Linked DNA regions of Daphnia pulex. The protein of the gene in region 1 interacts with the protein of each later gene in a pairwise test. Links are inferred from orthologs where the notes say so. Each region holds a gene or a part of one and is shown in the gene's direction. Other genes may lie near its edges. The genes, in order: histone acetyltransferase KAT2A-like, transcriptional adapter 2-beta-like and transcriptional adapter 2-alpha-like.

Region 1 (10,157 bases):
ATGTAGAAAGATCCAGTCAAATGAGTTATGAAATGTCACCGGACAGCTTGAGGAAGTTTGGTCCTTCAGTAGCACCTAAACCTCAGTACAAGGCTCAACCCCAGGTCCCTATTGTCCCCAAGAGCTCAAATATTTCTAGTTGTCTAGAACCATCATTCAGCACTGTTCTGAAAACACACAATGCTGATGGCAGTTTGTTGACGAGTGTCAGCTCATCCAGTAACTATGAAAATGTGGAGCCATACCTAGTACAGAATGAAGAACCCATCTACGGCAACATTCATCAACTAGGATCACCACCCTACCTGCCTCCACCACCCCCACCTCCCGCCTTCGCTTCCTGTGACAACGACGTAGATTTGCCTCTGCCTCCGCCACCGCTGCCCTCGGATCTGTCGGGCTACTACGGCAGCAACAGTGACCATCTGCATCTATTCCCCACGCCGTCTTCCACTGAGGAAGTGACGTCACCTCCGTCTCCGGTTAGCTCGAGCTATTCCGAGTTGCGGAGGGCTGGTTGCGGATCGACAACAGGATCAACCAGCAACTACGCTCCTTTATCGCAGGTCCAGTATCTTCTCTCTTAGTCACGCATTCACTGATGTATACAACTCTTTTGTATTCTCGTAATCTCTGATAACAAATTAACACTGAAATGTTTCCCCAACTCACTTCCCTTGGCCTCACGTTGTTGCCTTAAATAGCGGTGGACAGACTCGCCTAACCGATCGGAATAACGAGTTGCCGTCAAGGTCGCTAGAGTGTTTTCGCTTTTTTCTCTCTCTCACTGGCCGACCTTGGTTTATACGGAGTGATGGTTGTTGTTTATCTTCCTTCATATTTTTCTTATTTTCCTCAATCTAAAAAGAAATGCTAAATTTTTCACTCTAGAGGCGGAGCGTTTTTGGCTCATGACTGCCAAAAGTTTGGCTTGATTCGCACCACACTTGGTCGAAGGTGATTCATGGTGTTTCGTGCGGATGGATTGCGTCATTTAGCTCGAGTAGTAAATCTGTGACCTGATTAACCCAAATAAAAATGAAGGCTCCTCAACTGATCAACGTTTGCATCTCTGAAGACGATTGAAAAAGAAACAACATCGAGTGTGTTGACAGTTGGCCGCGCCAACCGACGTTTCATATAAATCGCTCGCTTCAGCAAACCAGCAGCAGCTTGAGCTATAAATAATTTAGGCGGTCAAAAACGGGAGTTGCTTTTTGAAAAAAAAGTTCTGGGACAGCGGGTGGGCAAACTGCTTTTTGGCTTCATGTTTTCCGACCTCCGCCTTTTTACGAAGGTAAATACTGGCCAGGTAGAAACTGAACTGACGGAATGAATATTTGTTTCTTCTCTTATTGGAAAGGTTTTTCTTTTTCTTTTTAATGCTTTATATCTGGGATTTTTTCTTTTTTACGAGTTATTCTTTTCAAATTTGCCCGATGACGGATTTCTAGCTTGTTCCTTGAGCCACAGCTATTGAGTGTGTTGCTCTTGGACTATGTCCCGAAAATGGTTGCCTCGAATGGTAGCGTGAATAGTCAGTTTGTGAATTCTCTCTATCTCACCTCCCATCAAGGAATGGGCCCATAGTCCGAATGCACACACAAAAAGAAAACGAGTATTAAGAAAGAAGGGGGGGGGGGAGAGAGACTGGGCTCAGCGCGACTTATATGGCAGCGAAAGTTGGAGCTCTGCGTGCCGCGTTGAGGTGGTGGTGGGAGGGACAGAAAGAGAGGAGGAGTTGGGCGCATCTAGAGGTTTTTCCCGTAGTAACGACGAGCCAAGATCCGTGCGCTGCTTGCATGTTTCCCGCACTTGATTACGTCAAAGCTCCCTCTCTCGTGAGCGTGTCACCTTTTTGGCTCAGTGGTTTGGCACGCGGATTTCAGACTACTTGTTGCTAGAAACGGCTCCTCGCTCCTTATCTCATTCAGTCACCCTCCAATTTGTTCCAGTTGATTCCCCCCCAACGATTCGGATATCAAAACACCTGTGCCTGTTGTTTCCACGCCTGTTGGTATCACTCGTGTTGTTCCAGGATGATTTCAAACTGTAGGGTGCTAATGTTTTATTGTTTTGAATCTATTTGGTGATGGGGTATATAGGCGTCCAACTACGAGTCGCTGTACGAGCCGATTCAACCACGACCTCATCATCAACACAGTCCCGCTGGCAGCATGTCGAGCTTGACTCGCCCGTCGCACTACACGACGTCTGCCTATCCGCCTTACGGCGGTAGCAGTAGCAGTACCACCTACGGTGGCGGATCTGCGGCCGGTGGATCTGCGGCTACCCTGAAACCCCAAGCCAGTCACGCCAAGGGAGCCACTTCGCCAGTTCAAGAGGAAGAAGTGGATGCGCTCACCAATTTGCTCGTCCAGTCTATGGATAATGCCGCCGACCCAGAGTTCTTTGGTTAGTAAATTCGTCTAGCTCTAAAGTGAAGTGCGTACGATTGAAATTTCAACATCTTGGTTCACAAGTGGCTCTCCTCCACTTTGATTGGTGCTTTTGCCATTTTCTAAAAAAGAAAGAGAGACGATCTTGTTGATTTGGGCAAAAAGGCAAGAGAGAAAGAACCTATTGGGAGCATAAATATCCGTCAAGGACGTTGATATATTTATTTTTTCCTCTTTCGGCTTTATGCCCGGCCTGGCCTTTGCTGTTTATACACAACACACACACACACACACACACTCACGCTGCTTTTCTTCTGAACGTCGTGCGCAGGAATGTGTGCCGATTGCGGTTTGAAGGTCGTGGGTGAAGGCTCTGGTTGCACGGCCATGGACCGTGTGTTCCACATAGCCTGTTTTACCTGTCGTGTCTGCAATTGCCGTCTGCAAGGAAAGCCGTTCTATGCGGTCGATGGCGAACCCCATTGTCAAGAATGTTACATGGTAAATTAAAAGGAAAAGAAAAAAAACAGATTTGAAATGGTGTCAGTTTCTAACCCTTGACTCCCTTTTCTGACGGACAAATAGAATAGCCTAGAGAAATGCTGTGTTTGCTCCGAGCCGATCCTCGACCGCATCTTACGTGCCACAGGAAAACCTTACCATCCCCAGTGTTTCACCTGCATTGTTTGTCTACTCTGTTTGGACGGCATTCCTTTCACGGTTGATGCCGCCAACCGGATTCACTGCATTGACGATTTCCACAAGTACGATTGTTATTTCTTGTTTCTTGACGAACCTTCGTTAAAAATACTATAATATTTGGTTTTAGGAAATTCGCTCCGCGCTGCTCTGTTTGTCACGATCCCATCATGCCAGAGCCTGGACAGGAAGAAACTGTTCGTGTTGTCGCTCTGGATCGGAGCTTTCACGTACAATGTTACAAATGCGAGGTAACTTGGCATATATTTACTTTTCTAATTGTCAACATCCTAACATGGTTTTTTGGGATATTAGGACTGCGATTTAGTTCTATCGTCGGAAGCTGAAGGGCGCGGTTGTTACCCGTTGGATGGGCGTGTCCTGTGTAAATCCTGCAATGCCATAAGAGTCAATGCGTTGACTTCCACCACTTCGACCGAGCTTTAAAGAAAATATTTCACGTTTTAGAAGACAAATGGAAGGGAAACTAAACAAGGAAAATGTGTCGGTGACTTTTAAAAAAATATATTTCCGCTATGTAACTCTGTATTAAATGACGAGTGCCTGACGACAGGACACAATTAAACGACATTCGACCATTTATTTGGTAGCCATAAAAAAAATAATAATCGGTTGGAATTTCTACGCCTCTTAATATGTATTCGGTGTTTCTATTTGCGGCGATTTAGAAGCGTCGTTTATTTTAATTATTTTTGATGTTCCGCATACCACATAATCCTCCCAAACGCACAAAACGACTGTCTTCCCTGATGTAGAACAATACAGCTTAGATCATAGTCATGTGAACATGTCATCATCATCTGTGTCCAGAGTCACTTCTGGTGGAACAGTCTCGATTTTCTTCTTCTTCACCAATGCTTTCCCCTTGTCTATTTTTGCATTATCCTCTGAGTTGGTTGATCCTAGTGTTTCTACTATGGCTTTCTGTAATAATTTTTCAATGGACTCAATTGGCTTCTCACAATGTTTTTACTTGAATACTTACTAAATCTTCATTCCTTCGAACCAGCAGCTTCACATCATCTCCATTGATTGTTGTGCGCTTTCCATGCCTCAATAAACAAATGTAAATAACAATGCATACATCTTATTTTAACATAAGCGATCAAGAAAATTAATACTTGGCAAAAGCTTCCAAATCTTGTGTAACCAGCTTGATCTTTTGCCAGACAATTTCATTTATTGTTGCTATCACATGCTTGTCAAAACTAATGTGAGTTCTAGCTTCCTGTTCTTCACACATTTTACCCACGGTAAAATGCAATGACGCTTTCAGCCGCTGTAAGTAAAAACGAAAATTATGTGCGATTCATGGTCTGCTAATAGATTTGCTTACTTCTTCGTGATCCATATTTACATCCAGGTTATTCCCCCATACAATTACACAGGAAAGTACACCTGAAGTTTAGTCCTTCAAGAAACAGATTTCGTAAACAGGGTAAATTTTTTAAATCTTCAGACGTAAATTCATAATTTCTTATGTTGTTGACTTGTTGTTAAGTGAAGTTGGAGTCAAACATCAGTGTCGGATTTTTTCAAATCGTATTTTAAAAGGCGATTTTCTTCACTTGTTTTTTTCGACAGTTTTTTAGTTTCTCACTTGCTGTCTTATGTCAAGTTTAAATTTTAAAAAATCTTTTCTTCATAAAATTAATTTTTATGTTTCGTTTTTCCGTTCCCAAAAACATAAGGATAAAGGTAAATGTGGCAATCTTGCGCCACCGGGGGTAAACAAAAATTTTCGCGACGCGCCTGGATTTCTGCTAGAAATCCCCGTAATTCCCCTAATTGCGTACTTCTGAGTTCAGTTAGTATATTTATGACGTTCACTAAAAGTGATGTACAACTACAAGAAAGGATATCAGATTTTGGTTTCCCGTGAATTTCAAGAATAAAAACATTTCCAATATGACTGACACTTCTAACCCAGTTGCGGCAAATAACAACTCAGCTGCTGGCGTTGGTACGAATCGTATGAACAACATTCAAAAAATTCAACTGCGGAAGCAGCAGGTTCGTGAATGGCCACATCCTAAGAAATTGGAAAAGCTAGCTGTTTATTCAAGTTGCAAGGTGGGTTTTCATTTTCAATGTTCTATAATGAACATGCTTTATTTCTTAAGATTATTTTTATTTTTATAATGAAGAACCACTTAACTGAGACATTTCTCCATAATTATTTTTTCAGTTTGATGAAAATTGCAAATGCAATGGATGGAAAAATCCTACTACACCACCAAATGTCAACAATACAGGAATAAATGTGGTTCTTCCATCAGCAAATTTAACTGATCCATGCCGCAGTTGTTCACATAACCTTTCAGATCATGTATCTCACTTGATAAATTCCAGTAATGAAGAACTAAACCAACTTTTAAGTCTGGTAGTGGACATAGAAAATTTATTTGTCTGTGTTAACAAGGAAGAAGATCCAGACAACAAACAAGTCTACTTTTGCCTTTTTAAAGTAATAACATTTGAAATCATTTTAGTGAAACAAGTATTATAAAAATGTTTTCTTAAATTTTCTTATTTTTTTGGAATATAGCTCTTGAGGAAATGTATAATGCAGATGACAAAACCAGTTGTAGAAGGGCCTTTAGGCTCTCCACCCTTTGAAAAACTAAGTATTAGCAAGGGTGTTACTAATTTTGTCATGTTCAAATACAGTCAACAAATCCCCAAGGTAAGAAATCAAAGTTATCCTTTAAAACATTAAATTAAATTTATTGTGTTCATAGGAGTTTCAAAAAATGTGTGATCTTGCCAAAATGTTTATCCACTGTTTAAATCACTGGAAATTGGAAACCCCTACTCAGTGGAAACAACATTATCCACAAGCTGACCTCTCCGTGTATCGAATTAGTTACACGAGGTAAACCTATTTTCAGTTTAAATTAGCTTTTGAAATTTTATTTTTAACTTAAAAATATTACACTCTGGCAGGTGGTTATGCTATTGCAATGTTCCGAGCTATTGCGACTCCCTACCGCAATATGAAACTAGTGCTATTTTTGGTCGGTCCTTTCTTCGACTGGTCTATTCCACCGTGCAGCGACAGCTCATGGATCGTTTCTTAGCCGAGAAAGACCGACTGCCACCCGAACGACGGGATATGATCATAAATAATTTTCCGAAGTTCTTGGCAGACATGGAAATGGAACTAGGAAATGATGCATCGCCTGTGTGGGATCCGTCGTATGTTCATCGACTCCCAAATCAACAGGAGAACATCAAAGGTATTTATTTCATTGCTTTCCAACTTATTAATGTTTAATCTAATTCTTGATAATTCTTGATATTAGAGGAAAATGTAACCCAGTCCAGCAACGAAGCAACCTTCCATCGTTTGACAAACAGCGGGATTGTCAGATCAATTTCCAAAGATGTAGAAAAGTAATGTCGAAACTTCATGTCCACCCTATGTCTACATGGAAATAATTTTCAATTTTAATTAGGAACTTGTTAAAGCGGCAAGTTGACAGCGAACCTAGTGTGGAAGGTGATGCGAAAAGGGTACGTTTGGATCATGACATATCTGAAGAAACTGTCGCCACAATTCTTGCCGTAATTAATGACCCCAAAAAGATGCTTGGTCCCGAAGTAAGCCAACAAATTTCTTACGTGTAAAGAATTAAGCTCTTCTAAACAGAGCTTTATTTTGGTTTTCCAGAGCGTCTTCCCAGAAAATGCACCAAGAGACGAAGCGGCAAAACAGGAAGAACGTCGTGGTTTGATATCCTTTCACGTAGTGGGAAATTCTCTTACTCAGACCGTATCCAAACAAACCATGTCATGGTTGGTTGGGTTACAAAATGTTTTTTCGCATCAATTACCACGAATGCCGAAAGAATACATCACACGGTTGGTTTTCGATTGGTGAGTCCTAAATTTTGTCTCTTATACTTTAAATCACCAAAGTTACAAATGTTATCCAATTTACGTGTAGCAAGCATCGGACTTTGGCGTTGATCAAAGATGGTCGACCAATCGGTGGTATCTGTTTTCGAATGTTCCCCATCCAAGGTTTCACCGAGATCGTATTCTGTGCCGTTACCTCCTCAGAGCAGGTTAAAGGGTACGGAACTCACTTGATGAATCACATTAAGGATTACCATATCAAACACAATGTACTTCACTTTCTTACCTTTGCCGACGAATACGCCATTGGTGAGCAAACAAAATTTTTTATTTTCAAATAATTTTCCTAATGCAGTGTGATGTGCAGGTTATTTCAAGAAACAAGGGTTTAGTAAAGAAATAAAGCTTCCAAAGTCCGTTTATAACGGTTACATCAAGGACTACGAAGGAGCAACTCTAATGGGATGCGAGTTAAATCCCCGTATTATTTACACAGAGTTTACCGCAATCATTCGAAAGCAGAAAGAGGTCTTACCCAGATTTAATATCCAACATTATTGTTCCTTTCTTAATTGTTTTTTTTTTTTTTAATTTTTAGATTGTCAAACATCTAATTGAAATGAAGCAGCAAGAAATTAGCCAAGTTCATCCAGGTCTCAATTGCTTTAAAGATGGTGTTCGAGAGATTCCTATTGACAGTATTCCCGGACTGAAATTGACGGGCTGGCGACCATCCAATGGCTACGGATCTAAGCGTCTAATCGAAGAGACTTTTGATGCAGAGCAATTATATCAAGCTTTACGTTCGGTTCTCAATCAGGTTTGGTTGCTTTAATTTTTATGAAAAGAAGAAAACATGTTATTCCATTTTTCTATATAGGTGAGAAGTCATGCCTCTTCCTGGCCCTTCTTGAAACCTGTTGATCGAGCGGAAGTACCAGATTATTACGACCACATCAAATTTCCGATGGGTAAGTTTACAATTGTGTTCAATTGATTAACGTTCCGATGTTAATTTAGTTTCATTGTAGATTTGAAGACCATGGGGGATCGATTAAAAAATCGTTACTACATCCATCGGAAGCTCTTCATGGCGGACATTTCACGCATGTTTTCCAATTGTCGCCACTATAATGAGGCTGACACGGAATATTGCAAGTGCGCCAACGCACTCGAAAAATACTATATAGCGAAAATGAAAGATGCTGGGCTTTGGGATAAATGAAGCTGACGTTCGAATAAGAAGTTAAATGTTGACACAAGTATTTATATTACATGCACTCAATCGACGACAAATAAAATAAATATCAAGCAATATGAGAAACAAGCTGAGAAAAATTTTCATTGCATCACCTGTTTGGCTTAGTTTTCATTTCAAGAATTGAATTAATAGTTATTCAGTTTACTGTCTGCTGAGGGAGCTTGTTTGTGAGCGAGATAAAGAAAAGCAATAGATGACAGAGCACTGACAAGAAAGATAACGTCAAACCATCGATGATAGAAAGAAAACTGCAGATCTCCAAGCACTTGAGTGATGATGGTACGATACTCGGCAGGCATGTTCATGCGCATTAGTAAAACAGATGATACGAAATACATTCCCTTAAAAATTGACAAAAAGCAAGAAAACTTTGATCATTTCAATTACAGAAAAACTAACATATAAAGTAATATAGTTACCATAATTTGGGCGAGAAGTAAAACAATGACGTTGGATGACTTGCTGCTTGAGATTGCGTAGAAAAATTTGGTTAGGGTTAAAAGTAACCCCCTAATAGAAGTAACGACAATGCATCCGACCAACAAAAAAGAAACATGTTGAGACCAAAAGTTAAAGTCGATCGACAATCCAACCCAATGTACGGCAATCTCAAGACCGCGCGTCACTGGATCTACTCGACCAACTCGATCAAACACAATGTTAATAGTACTCTGTTAATTAAAAACGAGATTATACAAGATTTCTTAAAATTCTGTCATTAAAATTTGATAGGGCAATACTTACAATAAAAATCTTCCACATGCAGTATATTGAGAAAAAATAACCAAGGAAGTTAAAGTACTTTCCTTGCCATGTTGTAGACCTGAAATAATAAAGAGAAAATGAGGATTGCACCTTTAGAAATATCACACAAAACCTAATGTTTTACCACTCTAGCCTGTCTTCCATTGTATGAAGATCAACAGCTTCTACAAAAAGTTGACGACTAAGCTCTTCTAGAGCTAAAACTTCAGATTTTAAAGACGATAAATCTAGTAATAAATTTAGAAGTTTAATTAAAATAGCTCTTCTTCTTGAATCCCAAAATCTTACTTTCGGAACTACTGACTCGAACAGAAGCTACACTTTTCAACATAGACCAAACTCCGAGAGTGCTGGTCTCTTTAGTGTTTCTATTCTTTTGACTTCGGGAGTCTCTTTCCATGAGAGCGATTCGCTTTTTCTTAACAACGATCATGTCCATAGTTTGCATCAGTTTCCTTTCCACTATCTGAATGTCAGTGTGAGTAACTGGTCTATAATAAATAATTATGTTGAAATTAGATTATATAATAGGACAGCATTTTCACTACAGTGGGAGATTAGCCTAGAGAAGCATATGTTTGATAAAGTTTACCTCATAAATACTGCCATGGAAGTGTATGGATAATTCACAGCACCAAAGCCAGAAAGAAGGGCCATTACTGTGACACCAATAATACCTATGCGAGAGATGCCTTGTTCCATTGAGAGCAAACGGAGACTCCTCTTAGAACTGCTTATTACTGGAAAGGGATCACCAACTTTCCAGAATAGGTATAGATAGATAACCCAAACTATCAGGGACAAAATTTTGACAAGACCTTTCCTGACTAGTAAACCAACAGAATATGTAATATCTGTATGTAGAAAGATTACAGGGATATATATGGTACTTACCAAAACGAATATTTGAGAGCACAAAGTATCCAATATAAAACGGTATAATTACAATCACAAATACTAGCATTGTGTATAGCACCACATTCCAGCATATGAAGCGATAGCTAAAAATATTTGCAATCATTATTAGTATGATTTATGAAGTTAGAAAGATGAAATTATAATACCTGGCATCTAATATCCCTAGAATTTCAAAAATAATAAGTTCAAACATAATGCAAGAAAGAGCAAATGTTACTGAAAATATTAATTGA
Region 2 (10,161 bases), on another chromosome or scaffold:
AATAATACTTGACCATTCCTGCATTACGGCTTGCCTTGCGGGTAACAATGTTTTTAGAAATTATTTTGTGCTGAAATTTTGAGCTGAAATATTTTCTAGTCTACCGGTAAAAATGTTTCGATTATAGTGGTAATAAACAGTTCATTTAAAATATAATGATATTTAAAAATAATATCGATAATGTTAATGAGTTTTTCAAACTTGTATAAGTTGTATGGGTTTTTATTCATTCATAATACTAGCGTCATTCGAACTAATAGACAATTATAACTTGAAATCACCAGCGGGAATTTGTTATTTTAATTTGAGTTTTAATTCAAAACCTTAAAAAAGTTTAAAAGAACTATAACAAATTCGAAATCGTATAGTAGGTTCGTCAAATACATCCATTTTGTCCAATGGGTTTCTGATTATCACCCATAGAGGGCCGTGATTCTGTGAAGTGATGAAGTCGTTTCAAAATTTGGCGGTTACATTCCTTAGTCCAACGGCCGCCACCGTCTCTTTGACATCCAAGTGTGCTCACCTTTTCCTTTAAAGTCGAGTCTGTGGAAACACGTTGGGTACGAACTTTCTTTACTTTGTTAGATTATTCTCTGTTTATCGTGTAACGAAATATTTTATGCAAGAGTCTTACGAATCAATTGATGACAATCTGATTTGCAGGTGGAATACGAAGAATACGTCACTCCAGTTTTTGTTTGCTGCCATTCGACTTCAAATTTCCGTTACTTTCCCGAGATTTCAATTCTTCACACTTTTTGGTTTTTGTTCTTGTTTCTTAACAAACAATAGTGATGCCTTCTGCAATGGAAGACTTTACCAAAATAGAAAAGATCGGTGAAGGTAATGATCCCTGGTACACTAAGCTGTGTAACTTGAACTGATTTTAAAACTTTTGTTTCGCAAAGGTACTTATGGTGTTGTCTACAAGGCTAAAAACCGTAAGACTCAACAATTTGTTGCCATGAAGAAAATCAGGCTTGAAAATGAAGATGATGGTGTTCCTTCGACAGCCATCAGGGAGATATCACTTTTGAAAGAGCTGCTACATCCCAATATCGTCTGTCTGGAGGATGTTTTGATGCAAGAAGGAAAGCTGTATTTAATTTTTGAGTTCCTGTCAATGGACCTTAAAAAGTACATGGACAGCATTCCAACTGGGCAGTTGATGGATAAAACTCTTGTTAAGTCTTATTGCCACCAGGTTTGCTTAGAAGATTTAGGACTCATTTATATATTGGCCTGATTTATATTTTCCCTCTAGATTTTGGAAGGCATTTTATATTGTCATAGACGTCGAGTTTTGCATAGAGATTTGAAGCCCCAGAACTTACTCATCGATAAAAACGGAATTATTAAGATAGCTGATTTCGGTCTTGGGCGCGTATTTGGAGTTCCCGTTCGTGTCTACACTCACGAGGTAAAGGAAAGAAGGTTCCCAATGCATGGACGTATACTATAAATTCTTTTGAACTCACGAAGGTTGTTACTCTATGGTACCGTGCTCCTGAAGTATTGCTTGGGTCATCAAGATATTCGTGCCCCATAGACGTGTGGTCGGTTGGCTGTATTATGGCTGAAATGATAACGAAAAAGCCATTGTTCCAAGGAGATTCGGAAATTGATCAGCTTTACCGTATTTTCCGGTAGTGTTACTTGTCCTTTTTTTTTTATTTTTAAAATTACATTTGTTCCTATTTTATTTGAAACACAGAGTAATGAAGACGCCCACGGAGGAAATGTGGCCAGGCGTTTCAAAAATGCCCGACTATAAACCTACTTTCCCTAATTGGAATACTTACCACCTTCAAAATTCCGTGAAGCAACTTGACTCGATTGGATTTGATCTGCTTCAAAAAACTCTCATTTACGATCCAGCCCTTCGTATCACGGCTCAGGATGCTTTAGATCATGCTTGGTTTACCGATCTGGATAAATCTATCTTACCCACCAATGTGCCTGCTTAATTAAGCATTCCTCATGTAAACGATAGCTACTAAACCTGGCCAACTTCCTGATGGTCGTTTCTTGAAATTCTGTTTTTCGCTTTTCCTAATCATCATTTTTTTTGCTCTCTGAGAGAAGATGGGTGTGATTCTTTTCCTTGGTAGCGAAGAAATTTTCTTCCCCCTTGTGTACGTGTGACTGTATACTATAGTTTCCTAATAAATATGCTCACGAGGACTACATCAGAAAATTGTAATTTAATTGGGAGATGTTCATTTTTATTTTTTATATCAACGTTCTGAATTAAATTGTCAACAATGTGAGTTTTTCGTTCAGCGACAGTTGAGTCTTGGTAAGTTGTGATAGATATAATACCATCAATAAATCCTAAATTAATAAAGTTTTACAAAAATTAGATTAAATAAGTAAATATTGGGTAATGTTTTCTACCTTTCGGTTTGAATTAAGCATCTCTTCAAATTCGTCGGGTGTCATTTTAGGTACCGAATGAACCATATCTAATAGAGAACGACCAAACGTGTTGTCAGCCGTTTTGGAGCCACTCATTACGTCGTCAACATAAGCCAAGATAGTGTCCAGCATGTTTTCCATCTGCTGCGAGGCTTCAACAATCTGAGTAAGATCCGAAGCGATGCCCGCTTGACGTTTAACCGAGGTTTTGGTTTTCTGGCAGGCATTTACTGAAAAACAATCAAAGATTAATTCCCAGTATACATACACATTTTCTATTATAATTACATCCAATAGTTTCTGGGTCATAGCATGCTATCTCAACAGAAACAGGAGCAAACATGCATCCCATAGTTTTGCCTGTGATACCCATTGGGACACTAGATGATAATTTAAAGATAATTATTTTTCAAAGCAATTGTATCATACTGAATTAATAGCATGTACCTGACATAAGCTTTGATTCCCATACGGGTATCTTGCAATGTGGTGTCCACTGTAATGTGAACAGGATTGGAGGACTCTCTGGAGTAGTACTCATGAATAAGAGCAGAGTGAGATGTGACTCCAGTACCAGTTGCCCACCAACCTACAATGCTTTCTTGGGGATTAACTTTACGATGCAAGTCATACATATCCTTGGCAAAGTCCAATTCCACAGCCACTTCTTCTTCTGATTCATTGTGAGGCACACAAAAGCAATTGGTCACTTCCACACCATTTTTATCTGATGTGCCTGGAAAAAATCAATATGAAAAATGAGTTATCACAACTTCGATTTCGCATATTATAGGAATTTAGGTATATAATCCAAAGATTTTGTCAGGTACTCGATACCGATACACGTGTCAACAGTCGAAAAAACAATAAAACGCGAAAGCAAACGGATGATCTAAATTGTATGTTACCAAGCAACGTTCCAATTACTCTCTGTGCATCAGGATTACGACGCTCATAAGAGTCAATAATCTGAAATAATACAACAGGATGCAACTTGACAGTCAGATTGAGAGCCATTTTGCGTGACTTTTTTTGCAGACCACTACCGCATTGGAGCTGAAAAAGCCGACACGAACTAGTTGCCAATTGGTGATATATAATACGTTGAATTATTTCTATTTACCAAACACGTCTCGTTATACATTAAAAAAAATTTAATTTAATAAAATGTACGGTGTACATTGTTTATAAATTTTACACGTCATTTTAATTATTTTTTAAAGACTTCTCACTTCTCAGTCACCAGAGGGCGCGACCAATGCTTTCGCTAGCGTTGGCATAGCTTAGTTGTTCTTGATGGGAAGGGAAGGCTAAAGATGGCGGGTAAAAAAAAATGCTCTCGTTGAATCCTTATTTTCGAAAATTGAAAATCTTTCTTTCTGTATCCATTCCTCAGATTTATTTATGAAGCATCGATGTGGCTACTGTCAGGACGACATCCTTGGCATTCGAATCCGATGTAACGTTTGTGTCGATTACGAACTTTGTTTACAGGTGTGGTATAAAATCTTCGTTGAATGAATCCCTCCCCTTCCTTCTTTGTTGTTTGTTATGACGCCCACCGGAGTGGTATTGCCGGTTGGTCGGCGGCGAATTTGAATTATTTTAATAACACAGTTTTGCAATGTTTCTTTCTAGTGTTTCTCTCTTGGCTGTGAAATTGGACCACATAAAAGTAGTCATGGATATAGATTAATAGTGAGTATTTAAGTTTTTCTATCAAACTCTCAATAAATACTTTATTTTTAATTTCTAGGATCCTGGTACTTTTAGTATTTTTCCTGACCAACAAAGGGAGGATGAAGGTGGCTGGATTGCAAGGGAAGACTATCAGTTACTTGATGCAATAGAACAGTTTGGTTATGGAAATTGGGAAGATGTTGCGAAACATGTAGAAACACGGGATTCAGAAAGTAATTGTTGATTTTTATCAGGATTTTATCATCAGTTACTCTCCAATTATGTTTTTTTTACAGAATGCAAAGAACAGTACTGTGATAGATTTGTCACAGGAACAATAGGTAAACTAACATGGCAAGGGCTTCCAAATGGACTTCTCGCAAGTGGAGAGTCTCGCTTGGCAGCAATTGATCACACTTGTCCAGATAATGCACCTCTATCTCCATCCATCACATCACGACTACCACCTTTAGCTATTCAACCTGAAGAAACATTAGAACTTGGATACATGCCTCAAAGAGATGATTTTGAAAGGGTGGGTCTTAATTTGTCATGAAACAAATTGTCTTAAAAACTTCAACATTATTTTTATTTTTTGTAGGAACATGACAATGAAGCTGAGGCAATTGTTTCTCATCTTGCCATTAATCATGACGACGAGGATATTGATTTGGCTCTAAAACTGGCTCAAGTCGATATGTATACTCGCCGCCTGAGGGAAAGAGCCCGAAGGAAGCGGGTTGCTCGGGATTTTCAACTGGTATCCCAATTTTTTAACGCTATCAAGAAAGAGAAGGAAAAACCTACGACTGCCGCAAAAAAAAGGGAGTCCCAAAAGGAAAAGTAATTCATGTTTCAATTAGTTAACTATAGATTCATTACAAACAGTTACATTTTTTTCCTTGTACAGAGAAACGCAAGAAAAATTTCGTTCGTTTTCCCAATTCCACACGGCACCTGAGCATGAGCAATTCTTACGCAATCTAACTAAAGAGAGAGCTTTGCGATTGCGGATTCGAGAACTAATCAAATACCGTAGGAATGGATTAACTCGACATGAGGAATGTACTGAATATGAACGACTGCGATACTTCCGTGAAAGAAAGAAAGAAGCCCGGTTGGAGCGCCAGCGCCGGAAATCCGTAAGCAATTTTCCCAGTCTGTACTATTGCTTGCATAGTTTCGTCAAGCGATAGTAAGAGTGTGCGACTGGTTTATTTACCTGTTAATACTTCGTTGAAATGAATCATTATTGGTGGTGTCCATTGGTTGAATATTCGATTTTATTTTTTTACTTATGTGTCTTTATTTTAAGTATCTTACAAGCTAGTTAAATTAGAACCCAAAAAAGACTGGAAATTGAACAATAGACTTTAACGTAGGGAAGCAGTGGACCGGGGCCGATTGTACAAAACCCTGGGACACTACACAAGTCAGAGTAAGCTTTATTATTTCCCCTTTTTTACATACTATGTGCAGTTTAACTCATCAGTTACCTGTGATAGCTTTGCATTATATTACGAAATCTCAACTATATTTCTTAGTTCTTAGAATTGTTAAGTAAATTCGTGGCTTATGTATGTAACTTGTTTTTTTTGTTTTTTTTTTTTTTTTCGCAGCAACGCAAGGGAAGAAGTGCTACTTTCAAGCTTTCGAGACGCAAAAGTCACCTCCTTCGGCAGCAACAACAACAGCAGCGTCCTCAGCGTTTCAAGCAGTCTGCCTCGACTCGGGCCCGTACTCTCCGCTAATACCCGACTTTCACAGTCAGAATGGCAGGAGGCAGTTGCTAATTTCCTCGCCAAGAGCGACGATCTCACTTTATGTCCCGGTTCAGAACTGCTCAGTCCTGCTGAAAAGCAAGTCAGTGAAACGATTATTATAATTATTATTTTTAAAGTTTTATCCAATAATTGTTTTCCTTTAAATCTCAGATTTGCCAAAATCTACGTTTGAGACCATTGTACTATACGTCATTGAAGGCCAATCTCATATTGGTAAGTCGAATCATTCACTCTCTTGATTTATTCACTTGAAATAAAATACAAATCTTTTTCTCAGAGTGGGACCGACAAGACTCCGCTCCTACCCGGCCTGGCTGCTGACGAGCAGTCTATGATTGTAAATTATTTTACGAAAGCCGGTTTTCTGTCTGTCGAGTGAAAACAGCAATTTTGTGTTGAAAAAATATGTGTCTTTTTTGAATAAAGTTCAACTGTTTTTTTTTAAACGAATTTCCAATATTCATTTCATTTTAGTTTTGATAGATTAGTTAAATTTTACGAATAATTTTGAGTATATTAATATAATTTGCATGATAAACCTTTTTTGTTTGATCAGATAAAAGATCACCTGATTTTTTCATCTTAATAAGAACAAAGTGCAACGTGAGGTGGCGGCCACCTATCAGTATGGTTACTGGACTCGACTGGACTCAATCTCAATGTTAGATCGCGGTCTTAGATTCAGAGTCTAAGAGAGGTAGAACTGGGGAGGCTTAGTCGGAGAAGGGTGAGGGGAAGTGGGAAGGTGAGTCACTAAGGAGATCGCTAAAATCTACAATTCTTTGCACGCTACTATCCGGCTGACCACCAATATGAATGAAAATTACAACTCTGACTCAAATTTTTACTCTGAATCAAAATTTGAAATCAGATTAAGTCTATTATGAACATACGCATGTATAATTAACTGCAAAAGAATTTTATTTTCACGCATGTCGGTACAACCTAAAGGCTAAATCTCAGTTTCTTTGAAACAATAAAAATTCTTCTTAGAATACCCGGGAACGAATGAATAATTTCACAAATTAAAAAACCTTAACCTTGTATAGCTATAAAATAGCTTTAAATGAATTAATTGTGAATAAATCAGAATAAATAAATTTCGGGAAGCCACCACCAGCCGTAGAAAGCACATTGAACAAAAAGCGGAACACACTGGCACGCCAGCTGAAATCTCAGTTTCTTTGAAAATAATAATCATTATTCTAATAATACCCAGGAATGAACAAATAACTTCGTAAATAAAAAAAACTATACTTAATATAGCTGTAAAATAGGTTTAAATGAAAGAATTGTAAATAAAATCTAATAAATAAATGTCGGGAAGCCACCGCCGCAGTCGCATTGGATGCCACCGTGGGGGTATGGCAAAAGTCGGACCGTACTGGCGAATGCCGTAGATTACTTTGTTGTAGCGTGCTGGCACGCCAGCAAGCGCCATTTGACGTTGCGTGCTGGCGCGCCAGCTGAGACCAGGTTGTACCCATTGCGTGCAAGAGAGACCACTCTCTTATCTCTATTCCTCTGACATAGCTGCCTAACTCTCCTTTACCTTGTAGGTTATATTGGCAAGAGCGCCTTAGGGTGCTTGAGCTGTTGCTAGAGGGCACCGGTGTTTCCCACTTTTACCCTTACTGCTGAAAGTAAAATTACAATATCTTATTGATTAGTTAATTTTACTTAGATTTATCTAAACAGTTAGAATCAGCGAAAAAAACTGAATATTTTTGATATTTTTTATTTATTTTTTCATGAAAATACCCACCCGAGACCCGACTAGCTTTAACACGGCGAGATAGGCGAAGAGTCCCGTCCTTAAGTAAAGTAGTCCATCACGATATAATAGGAAAGGTACACTTTCGCGCTACCCCAGTCTCTTGGAAGAAACGGCGGGTGTTCAGTGAAGGGACGACACGACACTGTAGCACAACAATCAATTTCATTTGGTAATGGATGGAATTAAAATGCGAAAAATAGATTTTTGGTTATAGCGCTGGCATGATAATGAAGATGGACATGGTTCAAGTCTCATTATAGATTTACTTTTTTTTTGAATAAAAATATTGTTTTGACCCATGCCCTTTGTTAACCATGACTCAGACAAATCAAAATTTCGCGATAGAATTTTTTTTCACAAAATTTCATAGAAAAAACATTGAATTTATATAAAAATTTGGAAAAATTAGGAAGGCATTTAGCAAAAAGTTCGACTTAACAATAGGCCCTGAATTTTTCATTTAAGACAGTTTTCAACCGGCTTACGACTATCCCTTCGCGGCGAGCTGAAAAGCTTGCTTTTCTATCTTATTATAAAATAGAATAAACAAAATTATGTAATAAAAAATACATTTGATTTGATTTTTCGGTGCAAATTTCAAAAAATTGTGAATTTCAATCACAAAATAAACATATAAAAAATTGCCTAATCTAGATGAATTAGGTATTTAAGGATAGGGAATCACATAAAACTTAAACTAAATCAATTTCTGGACACATTGATTGGTAATTTTACAGATAACGAACGAAAAACCCCTATTTTTACTATACCCCCGAGAGGCGATAAGCTTGAAAGACTAGCGAACTCGGCGGGGAATCTTGGGACCCTTCACTGAACACCCGCCGGTCTTGGGGATAGCCGAGAGTGTACCTTTCCTATTATATCGTGGTCTAATGGTCAGCATCCCGGGTTGGCATGCATGATACACGCATGTTAAATGTAAAAGACTATAGCTTTTTCATAAAAAAGGGATTTATTCCTTTTTTAATGTTCCGTTATTGGGAAAATAACAAAAAATAATATTGATTTATTCATCTTTGATAAGTCATTTATCCCTGAGGTATATTTATATACGAAGGTCCTTAACAATATAGGGTGTGGGGTATAGGGGGTAGTAGTAGGAAAATGTGTCGAAATGGGGGTATCACGAAAATCGTGATATCTCAAACATATCAAAGAATTATAAAAAATCCTTTTGGATTCTGAAAGAGGGATGAAAGGGCTACATTTTGTAACAATTAGTTTTTTTTTACAAGCCGAATATACGGCTAAAAGCGATGTAGTCGGACGTGGAGACTTTGGGTTTTCGTGATATTTCACGATTTTCAACCGTGATTATCTCGTGAACGGGAAAAGATAAAAATCCGGACTTAATTCCGTTGGAATCGCCTTGCGATTCTGAACAGATTAGACCTAGTCCGGATTTGTAAAGTTCTTTTCCGGATTACGATCCGAAAAGTACCCCCACCATTTCGGTCCGGTTGAGTGGGAGATCGCTTGTTAAGAGGAATTTTTCAAAAATTACAAACTTAGTTTTCCTTTCCGACTTGATCGAGATTCGAACCCCGAACCATGCGAATGGCAGCCTGGGTTGATGACCATTAGACCTATTTATTTATATTATTGAAAGGGAAAAATTGAGTATGATGGTAGCTCGCTATCTATTAGCCAAGACTCATGTCATGCAACATGTGACCGCATGATATAATTGTATTGTTATTATAGTAATAAGTGTTACTTTAACTTAATCTAAACATGAAGTGCGACGTGGGGTAGCGGGGCGAAGCCTCCGCCACACCTAAGTCGCACCACTCATAATATTGACAGATTATTAGTCAATTAGTCAATTAGTTAATAAGAATCAAATCATTTAAGAGAATAAAGGGAAAAAAAATTTTCGAAAAAAATAATAGTATGTATACTATTTACTTTCTACTATTTAACCTTAATTTTCTGTCTCTTTAACGTTTAAAAAAATTCCCGAAGGACATTACCGAAGGAATCTTGTTGGGAAAACAACAAAACAATTTAACAGCCACCTTGTCGCAACAAAAAAGTACTAATCTAATATTATACCAATATGTGGGTTATCGACCGAAGAATATTATCGGAAAAAAATATTTTTCCATTACGGGACTTGACTAACAACACAGCTGTTGGTGTAGTGATTATAGTGTTAGATTGGTGACTCAATGTAAGATGGTTCATACCCACTCTCGGAAAAGAACAAGGCAGTACTTAAAATAGAATCCTTTCTAATTACAAGTTGGAAATGAATAAATAGACCACGCTGGACTATAAAACCATAAACACAACAACCGGATTTCATCTAAATATAACACAAATAACGTTCGCAAAAATTTTGAAAGTAGTAAACTGTTATTTTACCAATAGAAGTAAAATAACTTGAAAAAAAATTATTGTGAGCCAGCAAATTTGGATGCAAAAATACATTGGAAAAATATTTTAGCAATATTTGGGAAATATACTCTGCTAGCT
Region 3 (9,370 bases), about 1.3 Mb from region 1:
CGGCTATCAGGACGCAATTAATAAATTCAACGGAATCAATCCAGTTGGGAAGCCAAATTGTCTTGAGAATTTGGCGTTTCTTTCGTTCCTGGAAAATATAAATAAAAATAAATTCAAACCGATCACATAATCGATCATAATGGCGAACAAATGTTTTTGCGGAGCTGAGATATGAGGTCAGACGAAAAACATGTCAACTTGAAACGTCTGCCGCCATTTTACGACCACCTCCTCCTCCTGTAATAGTTATTGAGATCAATCGACCCCGCCAGCAATGAGCTGTAAATAATGGGGCGTCCATTCACTTTGGCTGCGGTCAGAGAAGCAGCAGCACACTGGCGTGTGTTATGTCACCCCTTTTTCTTTTCGTGTGTGTGTTCCCCCCACCTTGGGTGCATCTCCCAATAGGGGAGCGGCGGTCTCTCTAAATCAAATGAGGAGGATATCAAGGAGGAGGAGGGATAAAAACGATTAAGATGGATCGGCGTCGTTTTTCGGCGACGCTTTACGACACTTTGGCTCTCACGCCTTCTCTCTATACCTTCATATACTATTAAATGTCTATTATAGACGTGACGTGCGGGAGCGATGCAAGTGAATAAGGTTCTTATATCTTCTCCGGGTTGTTATGGGTGGGAACGACGCCATTTTTTTGACGGCCGGAATTCTTCCCTTTTATTTGACGTAACATATTTCTCAGTCGCATCGTAGAAATGGCCGCGCTCAAAGTTTTCTTGTTGGTCAACAAATGGATTGGGTCGTTAGATGTATGGAGGCGGAGCGATCGATCGATCGATGGGAGAAAGTGAACCAGAAATGAATATTCTCCGGAAGAAGAAGAAGACGAACTGATTGGGTGTGTGTATCCATCCGGCGGATCAAAGCCGAGTGTATAGAGAGCAACAGTCTTTCATCAGCCGGAGGCCATGCACCCGCATGTGATACTCAGTAGGCCGGCGGCTCTCTCCATTGTTGAGCTTGTTTTCCCAGCTGATTGAAACCGGCTGTTTTTTGCACAGGGTTAGACACATGTGTACATTCAACTTGGCCTTTAGTTGCGTCTATAGCGCACTCCTTCATTTCTCAATTTTCATCTCCTTTTGGCTCACAGGCCAGCAGCAGTTCTCCACTGTATAATATCGATGCTGCTGCTGCTGTTACCGCCCAGCACCCGCGACCAATCAATACTACTAGACGGCAGTTTCAGCGTGTATGTGTGTGTCTATATATACGGACGGCTCGGGTTTTTTTTTTTCACGCAAGGGGAGTCTATATAGCCAATATATACTATCTGGCACGCGGGTTGGAAGGGCTTTATTCCGAACGAGTGGCCTGCTGGCGTTGAACGCGAACGTGAGCGAGTAAATAATAAACTCGCGCCCGAATCTCTTCTCCTATTGCTTGTTATTGTGCTGTGTGTGTGTGTGTATACCTGCGTCTCGCCCGCAAGTGTGTGATGGCACCTCCGTCGGTGTGTTACATCCGATTGCACGAGATTACGAAAAAAAAATAAAAGGAAATTCCAAACCCAATGATAATATCAATAATAAAAGCAGTCTCAGGCATTTGAGCGGGATGACGTCAACGCTGCTCTCTATCTGTTTGAAAACACGCCAATCAGAGTCGCCGGGCGTCGTTCGGGAAAAAGAAGTTTCAAGGAAGAGATAGAGCAGGAGGAGATGTGTGTGTGTGTGTATGTTCGGGTTGAAGGAAACTTCCGTTGTCAGCTTACTATTACGTACATGAAGATTCTTTTGACTTTTGCTCCTCCCATCTGCAATGGATGGATTCATTGATCCGGCCAGTAGAAAAAGTAGGTGAACTTGTTACTCGCAGAATTTTCCAATAACAACCGAATAGGCAACTAAAGTTATGTCAATTATTTCTCGTGTAATATCTTTGACCGATTTCTCTTGATTTCCGACTCGGAAAGACATAACAAAACTTGGGTCTCGGGGCTTATAAGGCACGTTCTCTTTTTTTTTTCCTTCCGCTTTGGCTCCGCGGTGGGTTTTATTGTCGGAGAAGAAGACCCTGCTGGATGCTGAGCCCCAATATATTATTATTATTATTATTATTACGATGGGGAGGAGGGGCGAATAATCCGTACAAAATAGTTGCCATTATTATGGCCGACTGCTGTTGCGGAAGACGGAAGAACGGAGAGATTAAGCCGCCAAGCGGAATTCTTTGATTGTTATTATTAAAACGCTTGTCGATCGGTTTGGCTCACGGCAAAGTGGGCGGGGTCCTTCAATTAATGAATTTATTTTCGATCGCTTTCTTTTATATTGTCCTAAATTGGGAAACATTTAAAATGTAAAAATCGATGGATTGGGATTTTTTTATTGTTCCCCAAATTCTCACGTGAGGCGGATGAAAATGGCGTCGCGAATGGAGCTCCATTAGCTTTTTCTATTGGATAATCATCTAGAACGAGGAGCTGGGGTTTATATAGATGTTACTAATTAGTTCAGAAATGCACAGGATGTCCAGGCAGGATCGCTGGTAGCAGAGAGAGAATACCGAACTTTTGGCCAGCGCGAAATGCGGATTACCAGACACTCACAATCATCCTTTAATAACATAGAGATTACGTGATGGAAAAGAGGAGCTAGAGCAGAGGGACGAACGTGAACGAACGCCGCAAGGATTACAAGTTTAGGGTGGATGATTCCGCCACCACCACAGCAACCCCCTACCATCCGTTCTAATATATAGTCAGCCCAACAGGTGCCCCTCCCTTTATTTTGTGTGTGTGTGTTGAGGGGGTCTATACACACGGTAAATAGACGTACACTAGGTAAAACTTGTTCTGCCAGCTCCTCTTTGAGTGTAAAGTTTTCTCCGCAACCGGAAATGTTGCGCAAAGTGCATTTTTGGGGAGAGGGGGGGTCGGAGTGAAAGTTTATGCGGAAGGGCCTTTTCTTCTATTATAAAAGTATTCCGACTACAATAATCCTTCGTATTTTATTTCATCGTCGTTTGCTCCTTTTCTCTCCCTTAAGTTTTACTTCGACGTCTTTATGCAAGAATAATCCGGCAGTCTTCCTCATCTTCTTGAAAATAACTTGGAACGTAGTTCTCTCTGTCATTAATCATGTACGACGTATTACATTGTGTAATATAGGGAATTCTTCGTTGCCTACTCTAATCAATTAATAATCCTACTTTCTCCTTCATATTTCCTGTACGCCCATCTTTTTGCCCGGCATTTTTGTCTATTCCGCTCTTAATCAATTATTACGTTCCTGAGCCAACACTTATTGATGGCGGGAGTCGGTAGAAAACCTTTTAATTATGAACCATGCAGGCCCCCGTGTTCTTAAATATTCGTATATAATCATTCAGGCTGGCTGGTTGGTTGTGCTGCATCGCTCGCTGCCATCTGTTTTATTCATTTGGCTGGCATTAACCATTCCGATGATTCGCCGAGGTGGTGCCGTGCAGGACTGCCGGATGTTGGAGATTACGAAATCTCTAGCGCCTTGTTCGTGCTCAGACTTGTGTGCGGTTTTGAGCGAAAAAATTATGTTTTAAAAACAACTTCCTGGAAATGAAGAGAAATCCAACAAACGTGGACTAGGGCACTAGGCCACACTCTTTTGCACAATGATTTGTGTAACGTTTTTGGGACTCCAATTAGTATTAATTTATTCGTTTTGATTTTTGTCTGATAGTCTAGGTCAAATCCGGCTGGGAAAAACTGGTACAAAATTGCCAAATGAATATTTTTCGAAAAATGAAATTTTCAACGAAAATCACAACAGCAAGTCTGGCAACGTCGTTACACTTTACTCTAATATCATTTGAAAATGGCGGCCGCCACAGAGATCAGTGACGAAGATGCCGCTGTTTTGCAGTTCCCAAAAGGTAAAAAGAACTATAATTTCCTACCCAGTTTACGGTTTTGAGCTTCCCTGTGTTAGGCTTGATATGTTTTCATAAAGGGATTTACAGTTATTACAGTTAATTGCTGTTAGGCTAGACCTGGCTAAGAACTGCACGTTTCGTGAACGTTTAATTCATTTGCAACGAATTTCTTAGAAATGTCGACTGATGAACCATGTGGAAATGTGTGGCCGGCGACAGATTGTTCCCAGACTCGAGTGTGTTTCATTTGTCAGACCCCTCTGACTGGAGTTTACATCAGGTGCGAGGAGTGTGTCAGAGTGGACTTGTGCCCAACGTGCTTTGCCAAGGGAAAGGAAAGCAATCACCATTTGAACAATCACAGCTACAGGGTCATACGAGATGATTTCTACCTCTTTGACAACTGGACTGCTCGGGAAGAACTCACTTTGCTGGATCAGTTGTCTACGCATGGGCCATCAAATTGGACGGAGGTTGCCAAACGCTCCAAAGCCAGTCCTGAAGAATGTGCAAACCACTATAACAAGTGGTACCTTGAAGACCCAGTGGAACCTCTACCAAGACCGAAAAGTCCAGAGAGACTGTACAGGCCTCAGCCTATCGTCTACAGAACCGGAACTCACGACCCCCCTAGGCCTGTTCCTGGATCAGTTTACCACAGAGACATGGCCGGTTACTGTGCTGCTCGAGGAGATTTCCAAGTGGAAGCCTTCCAGAATGCAGAATTTGACGTGGCGTCGTTACAGGATGAAACGAAACCCGATCCCGACGAAGAAATCGACCAAGAGGCTTTAGAACTCGAACGTGCATTGGCCGTGGCCGTGGTGCAAGTGTACAACGACAAGTTGCGCGAGAGATTTCGAAAGAAACGTATCGTCCAGGAACACGGGTTGATCAATTTTCATCGTCATTTGGCGGCTCGTTATCGCTACGACTCTACGCTGACACATCGCATTTGTGAGCGTCTCTCGGTGTTTTCCCAGGTGTTCAAATTTCAAGACCACTGCAGTCTCTTTGAAGGCTTGCACGGACATGTCGAGTTGCGGCAGCGAATCCAGCAGCTGCAAAGGTACCGCCACTTGGGGATCAAGACTCTGGCGTCGGCCAAAATCTACACGCAGCTTCAGGCTCGTCGTGAGAAGCACATGAAGCAGTGGAAGCAGTTTTCGGCCAACCTTCACGTGGCGTTCCCCGTCCAGCAGCAGCACCAACAGTTGGTGACCTCAGCCCTGCTTCAAGGAAGCAACGGCAACGTTCTAGTCAGCCCGGCTGGCCCTTTCCCACAGCAGCGAAGGAGCGCACCGCCGCTGGACATTGTCGGTCTGCCCGGTTACGACAAATTGAACGAAGGCGAACGTCAGTTGTGCTCCGTTTCACGTCTCGTTCCCGAGTCGTACATGGAATTTCGAAACATTCTCATCGCCGAGTGCCGCAACCGCAAAGGCATTCGGCTGGCTCAGGCCAGGACGTTGATCAAGATTGATGTGAACAAGACGCGCAAGATCTTTGATTTCCTCCTAGAAGAGAAACTAATCTACTTCCCCGCTTGATTTATGGCACCACTTGTTATAATAATGTTTTGTACAGGGGGCAGAGAGACTGAGAGAGAGAGGGGAAGAGGAGATGAGCAATAAACTTGCGTTATACAGTCAAGCCTCATGTCGTTTTAGCGTGTTGAAATCATCTCGAATTACCTGTTATATATATATATATATAGATATATAGATGTGTGGGCTTGTAGTCATGGGAAGCTCATGCAGGTTTGTTTTCTTAGATCAGCAGGAAAAGAAAGAAAAAGAGTCGACAAACGAGTGGGCACTAGTTTAGTAGTTTGCACAGTGAACCATCCCTTAATGCGGTTTCATTCTTCTGTCTCCATTCCACATCATTACAGAGTTCGAGAATGCGGAAACATTGCTGATATCTGAAGTCCACATGTTGCTGGACCATCGTAAATTACAGAATGAAAGCGCAGAGGACGAGCAGGAACTGTCGGAAGTCTTTATGAAGACGCTTAATTACACTCAGCGCTTTAGCAAGTTCAAGAATCGTGAGACTATCGCCGCCATTCGCAGGTTGATGCTCTTGAAAGTTTGATTTGTTTGTTTGTTTTTTCCCGGAATGAATCAATGACTTCATTCCCAACTTTTTCCTTACTTTTGTTTTTTCTTTCTTTCTTCTTGAACTCCAGTTTGCTGATGCAGAAAAAATTGCACAAATTCGAACTGGCAGCTCTGGCTAATTTGTGCCCGGAAAGCCCTGAAGAGGCCAAATCTCTCATTCCCAGGTACATCCAACCGTCACTGATATCTTAATTGATTTTTATAACGAAAGACTTGTTTGATTTCCCGCAGTCTTGAAGGCCGATTTGAAGACGAAGAACTCCGACAGATTCTGGAAGATATTCAAACCAAGCGAAGCTTCCAATATTGAACACGGTCGACCAACCCATGTCAGGCAAATGCACTTGAAATTCCTCATATTTTATTCTTTTTTTTCTCCTTTGGTCACAATACAGATTTTCCTTTTCATCCTTTTTCGTGATTTTCCATCCCAGGGATGGGCGCAGTCGAGAGTGATGCACACACTTGTGCGGCAAAGCGTAGGACGAGAGAGCCTTTAGTTAACGATAGCGAGGCATTTGGGTTGGCCTTCACTTAAAAGCTCTTGATTGAATTTACTGGCGGATGCAGTTGCTGAGGTCCTATATTTTTCTTTGCTCCTTTGCCCTATACTATCTTGTATTCTTCGTGGATCTGGTTATTTATTAGACAGTCGGTTGCTATGCGACCACAGACTCCCAGCTAAATTATTAGGAAAATGTTGTTGGAGCCAAAAGCTGATCGATAATCGTCGTGGCTTATTTGAAAGATAAGAGAGAGAAGAAAAAAGTCTCGTGCACCATAAGATCATATTAAAAACCAGAAAAAAGAAAGAGACGAGGATCCACTTACACGTGGACCGTGTGTACACCAGGGTAATGAGATCGATTTCCACGGCAAAGGATTTTGATGGAAAAAAACTGCATTCGACTCTCTTGCCTTGTACTACCTTCCACCACGTTTTAATTAGATTTGATACCACGAGGTGTACGAGCTGCGCTCATCCTGGCGGTTCATCCACTCAGATGATTAGATACCTCAGAAGACGGAGAGAGAAAATCTGGTGACTTGGAATAAAGCCAACCTCCGTTGCCCGTGTCGGTTAGTGTCTGTTTTGATGTCAGATAATTTGTTAGTGTTGCCGAGCAAAGTTTGAGTCTTGAGATGCTAAGAATAAATGACAGATACGGACTGTAAACGACGTATACACGTAACTGTTAAAAGGAAAGTAAAAGAACTTTACTTTTCTTTCTCCGACTCGGACAAAATCTGGTCTGATGCCCTTACAATCAAGACTGTGCACACCGTCTCTCAAACATTGTCTGGTCTTATCGGAGACTAGAAAGAAACTTTAATAAAGAGTTTCTTCATGCAGAATGGAAAATTGGATCTCGACATCACAAGAGTTTCCCTTTTTTTTCATTTCCGATTCGTCTTCTCCTTTGGTATATACAAACAAGTAAACTTTATTGAACTGAAAGTCATTTTTTTCCCCATTTGAAACTAAATTTTTTATTCTTTCCAAGGCTTTTGATGGTGATTCATTCCGTCACCCTTTTATTATCGTCTAGCTGAATTACCGTCGAAAAAAAACCGAATGGCACATTTGATTGCCTGATGCTACCAATCGACCATATATTTGCGCTCCCAAATCGCTAAATGTGTCCTATTCATTGAAATTAATCGAGGTTCCTTTCTAGTGGCGCCGGCTTAGTCCTTGGTAAAAGTATCGACTTGGAAATGAAAAGTGCAATGCCGAATGCCATGGAAAGATTTATGGGCCACCTACTTAGATATCAGTCACGCTCGTATACGCTGCAATTTCCATCGTGATGGCACCGATGAGCTCTCGTTTATTTCCCAAATGCGTTCCTTTTCCCTAGACGACCCAGCATCAACGACACCAGTATATATACTGCACTTGTATTCACCGTAATTTATCATCCAGTTTGCCTTCCAATTATGTCGTTCTTCTCGTCTGTCTTTCAACTAGAGCTCTCAAGGTTTTTTTTTAATATATATAACTGAACCCATTAAATGGATGGAAGTAGTTGCTCATGGTCGCAATTTATATTCTTCTCGTGCAATAACCTGTAAAACCAGGTGAAACCTCATTGGAGACCAGCAGCATCGGCTGTATCAAAAGGCATTAAATATTTTCTACGTCTAATAGAATTCCGAAGAATTTTCCATTTGGATTTGTTAAATAACTTAAACCGAGAGGCGTGCGTCTTGAGCATAAGGAAATGTGTCACCAATTATTTATTTCTTATCACTGAAATATTTGGGGACCGTTGAATGACTCAATGAAAATAATGAGGAATTCTAGCAATAGCTAGAATTCATGCTTGGCTAATCACGTGATGAGTTAGATAAGTTATATAACAACGAAAAATTAGGCACTATAAGAAATGCCTCCCCGTTTATTTGTTACAGTGTTCTACGAAGCGAGTTATATAGAAGAATCATATTGATTTTCCGTTCTTCACATGAATACATCAGTCGTTTAAACGCAGTGATAAATAAAAAATCGATTCACAAGTCAACTTTCTATTTTAACGAAAAGTCGACTTAAACTATTTCTAGAACTCGAGAAACTGTAAGTTGGTTCGATTTATTTATTTTGTAATTCTCGAAAGTTATTGGGAAAGCCCCTAGACGTTTGTGTTTTCTAAGCTAATTTTGCTATTGTATTTTTGCTATCTAGTTGTTGTTGAAAACAACTTAACAACTTGAAGCTTCAAAGAACTTTAACTAGACCTACAGTACAGTTCATAGATTTAAATAGGAAAAAGCGTGAATATTAGGTTACCGCCAAGGTCGCCCGATAGATGACTTCTTCTCCGACTCCCGAGGGAAAGTTTGTTTACATTGAATGGTACTAGCGGTTTACCGTTTTGTCCATATCTATGTTCACGCGTCATCAGTTCGCGATAGGCTACTATTCTCTGTTATCATGGCAAACTATATCACGTAGCAAACTAAACTTTGATTTAAAATCAAATTCGTGAAAACTCTAGTGCATATCTTTTATTCACATGAAAGGTAGGTTCAGAAACACAAACATGTGGACATTGTAGGTTAGAAGACGGCTGAACAGCGTAGGCTGTACCCTTAATACGAAACCACTGACGAAACAAACTAGTTCAAAATATTTAACTTTTGTTGTAGGACTGGAACAACAGTTATAAAATTCATTGCTATGACACCAACAGAAAGCCCTTCAGGCGGGGAAGTTTCATTTGATAACTTATATCCAGCTCTAATAGAATGTTTCGCTGTGATTCTTTGTGGGTATGTATGATTGCGAGTGAATTCCCATGTTCTGTGAAATGTCATGCATCATTTTGTCTTTCAGGTATGTGGCGGGAAGATTGAACATAATCTCAGCCACA

Evidence for each region.
Region 2: the proteins of histone acetyltransferase KAT2A-like (region 1) and transcriptional adapter 2-beta-like interact in a two-hybrid assay, tested with the Drosophila melanogaster proteins (4 studies listed by BioGRID). The link is inferred for Daphnia pulex from reciprocal best matches to the Drosophila melanogaster genes Gcn5 and Ada2b.
Region 3: the proteins of histone acetyltransferase KAT2A-like (region 1) and transcriptional adapter 2-alpha-like interact in a two-hybrid assay, tested with the Drosophila melanogaster proteins (2 studies listed by BioGRID). The link is inferred for Daphnia pulex from reciprocal best matches to the Drosophila melanogaster genes Gcn5 and Ada2a.

What each region holds. Positions count from the first base shown.
Region 1 is NC_060028.1:7,762,357-7,772,513, reverse strand, and holds histone acetyltransferase KAT2A-like, read left to right. Parts: upstream 1-4,839; 5' UTR 4,840-5,027; coding exon 5,028-5,192; intron 5,193-5,307; coding exon 5,308-5,586; intron 5,587-5,667; coding exon 5,668-5,805; intron 5,806-5,860; coding exon 5,861-5,994; intron 5,995-6,065; coding exon 6,066-6,358; intron 6,359-6,424; coding exon 6,425-6,515; intron 6,516-6,577; coding exon 6,578-6,722; intron 6,723-6,792; coding exon 6,793-6,998; intron 6,999-7,068; coding exon 7,069-7,289; intron 7,290-7,347; coding exon 7,348-7,508; intron 7,509-7,578; coding exon 7,579-7,800; intron 7,801-7,860; coding exon 7,861-7,951; intron 7,952-8,011; coding exon 8,012-8,205; 3' UTR 8,206-8,295; downstream 8,296-10,157. Other genes in the region: thyroid receptor-interacting protein 6-like, read left to right, coding at 1-566, 2,106-2,415, 2,731-2,900, 2,985-3,163, 3,229-3,349, 3,414-3,545; centromere protein S-like, read right to left, coding at 3,897-4,043, 4,105-4,171, 4,241-4,398, 4,456-4,470; Golgi pH regulator-like, read right to left, coding at 8,367-8,582, 8,661-8,912, 8,986-9,064, 9,131-9,233, 9,295-9,497, 9,599-9,833, 9,901-10,007, 10,071-10,157.
Region 2 is NC_060026.1:11,478,599-11,488,759, forward strand, and holds transcriptional adapter 2-beta-like, read left to right. Parts: upstream 1-3,663; 5' UTR 3,664-3,737; coding exon 3,738-3,744; intron 3,745-3,817; coding exon 3,818-3,915; intron 3,916-4,059; coding exon 4,060-4,119; intron 4,120-4,177; coding exon 4,178-4,334; intron 4,335-4,397; coding exon 4,398-4,636; intron 4,637-4,702; coding exon 4,703-4,944; intron 4,945-5,011; coding exon 5,012-5,243; intron 5,244-5,483; coding exon 5,484-5,539; intron 5,540-5,720; coding exon 5,721-5,964; intron 5,965-6,035; coding exon 6,036-6,098; intron 6,099-6,162; coding exon 6,163-6,264; 3' UTR 6,265-6,326; downstream 6,327-10,161. Other genes in the region: cyclin-dependent kinase 1-like, read left to right, coding at 798-846, 912-1,207, 1,268-1,423, 1,486-1,649, 1,718-1,970; eukaryotic translation initiation factor 3 subunit F-like, read right to left, coding at 2,254-2,337, 2,401-2,651, 2,710-2,801, 2,869-3,157, 3,330-3,438. UniProt on the Drosophila melanogaster protein: Component of several Gcn5-containing histone acetyltransferase complexes that regulate nucleosome organization; involved in acetylation of histone H3, particularly on Lys-10 (H3K9ac) and Lys-15 (H3K14ac).
Region 3 is NC_060028.1:9,038,818-9,048,187, reverse strand, and holds the end of transcriptional adapter 2-alpha-like, read left to right. Parts: intron 1-3,680; exon of another isoform or gene 3,681-3,685; 5' UTR 3,686-3,815; coding exon 3,816-3,873; intron 3,874-4,047; coding exon 4,048-5,423; 3' UTR 5,424-5,526; downstream 5,527-9,370. Other genes in the region: integral membrane protein GPR155-like, read left to right, coding at 9,178-9,269, 9,334-9,370. UniProt on the Drosophila melanogaster protein: Component of the histone acetyltransferase (HAT) complex ATAC; predominantly involved in acetylation of histone H4, including at Lys-6 (H4K5ac) and Lys-13 (H4K12ac).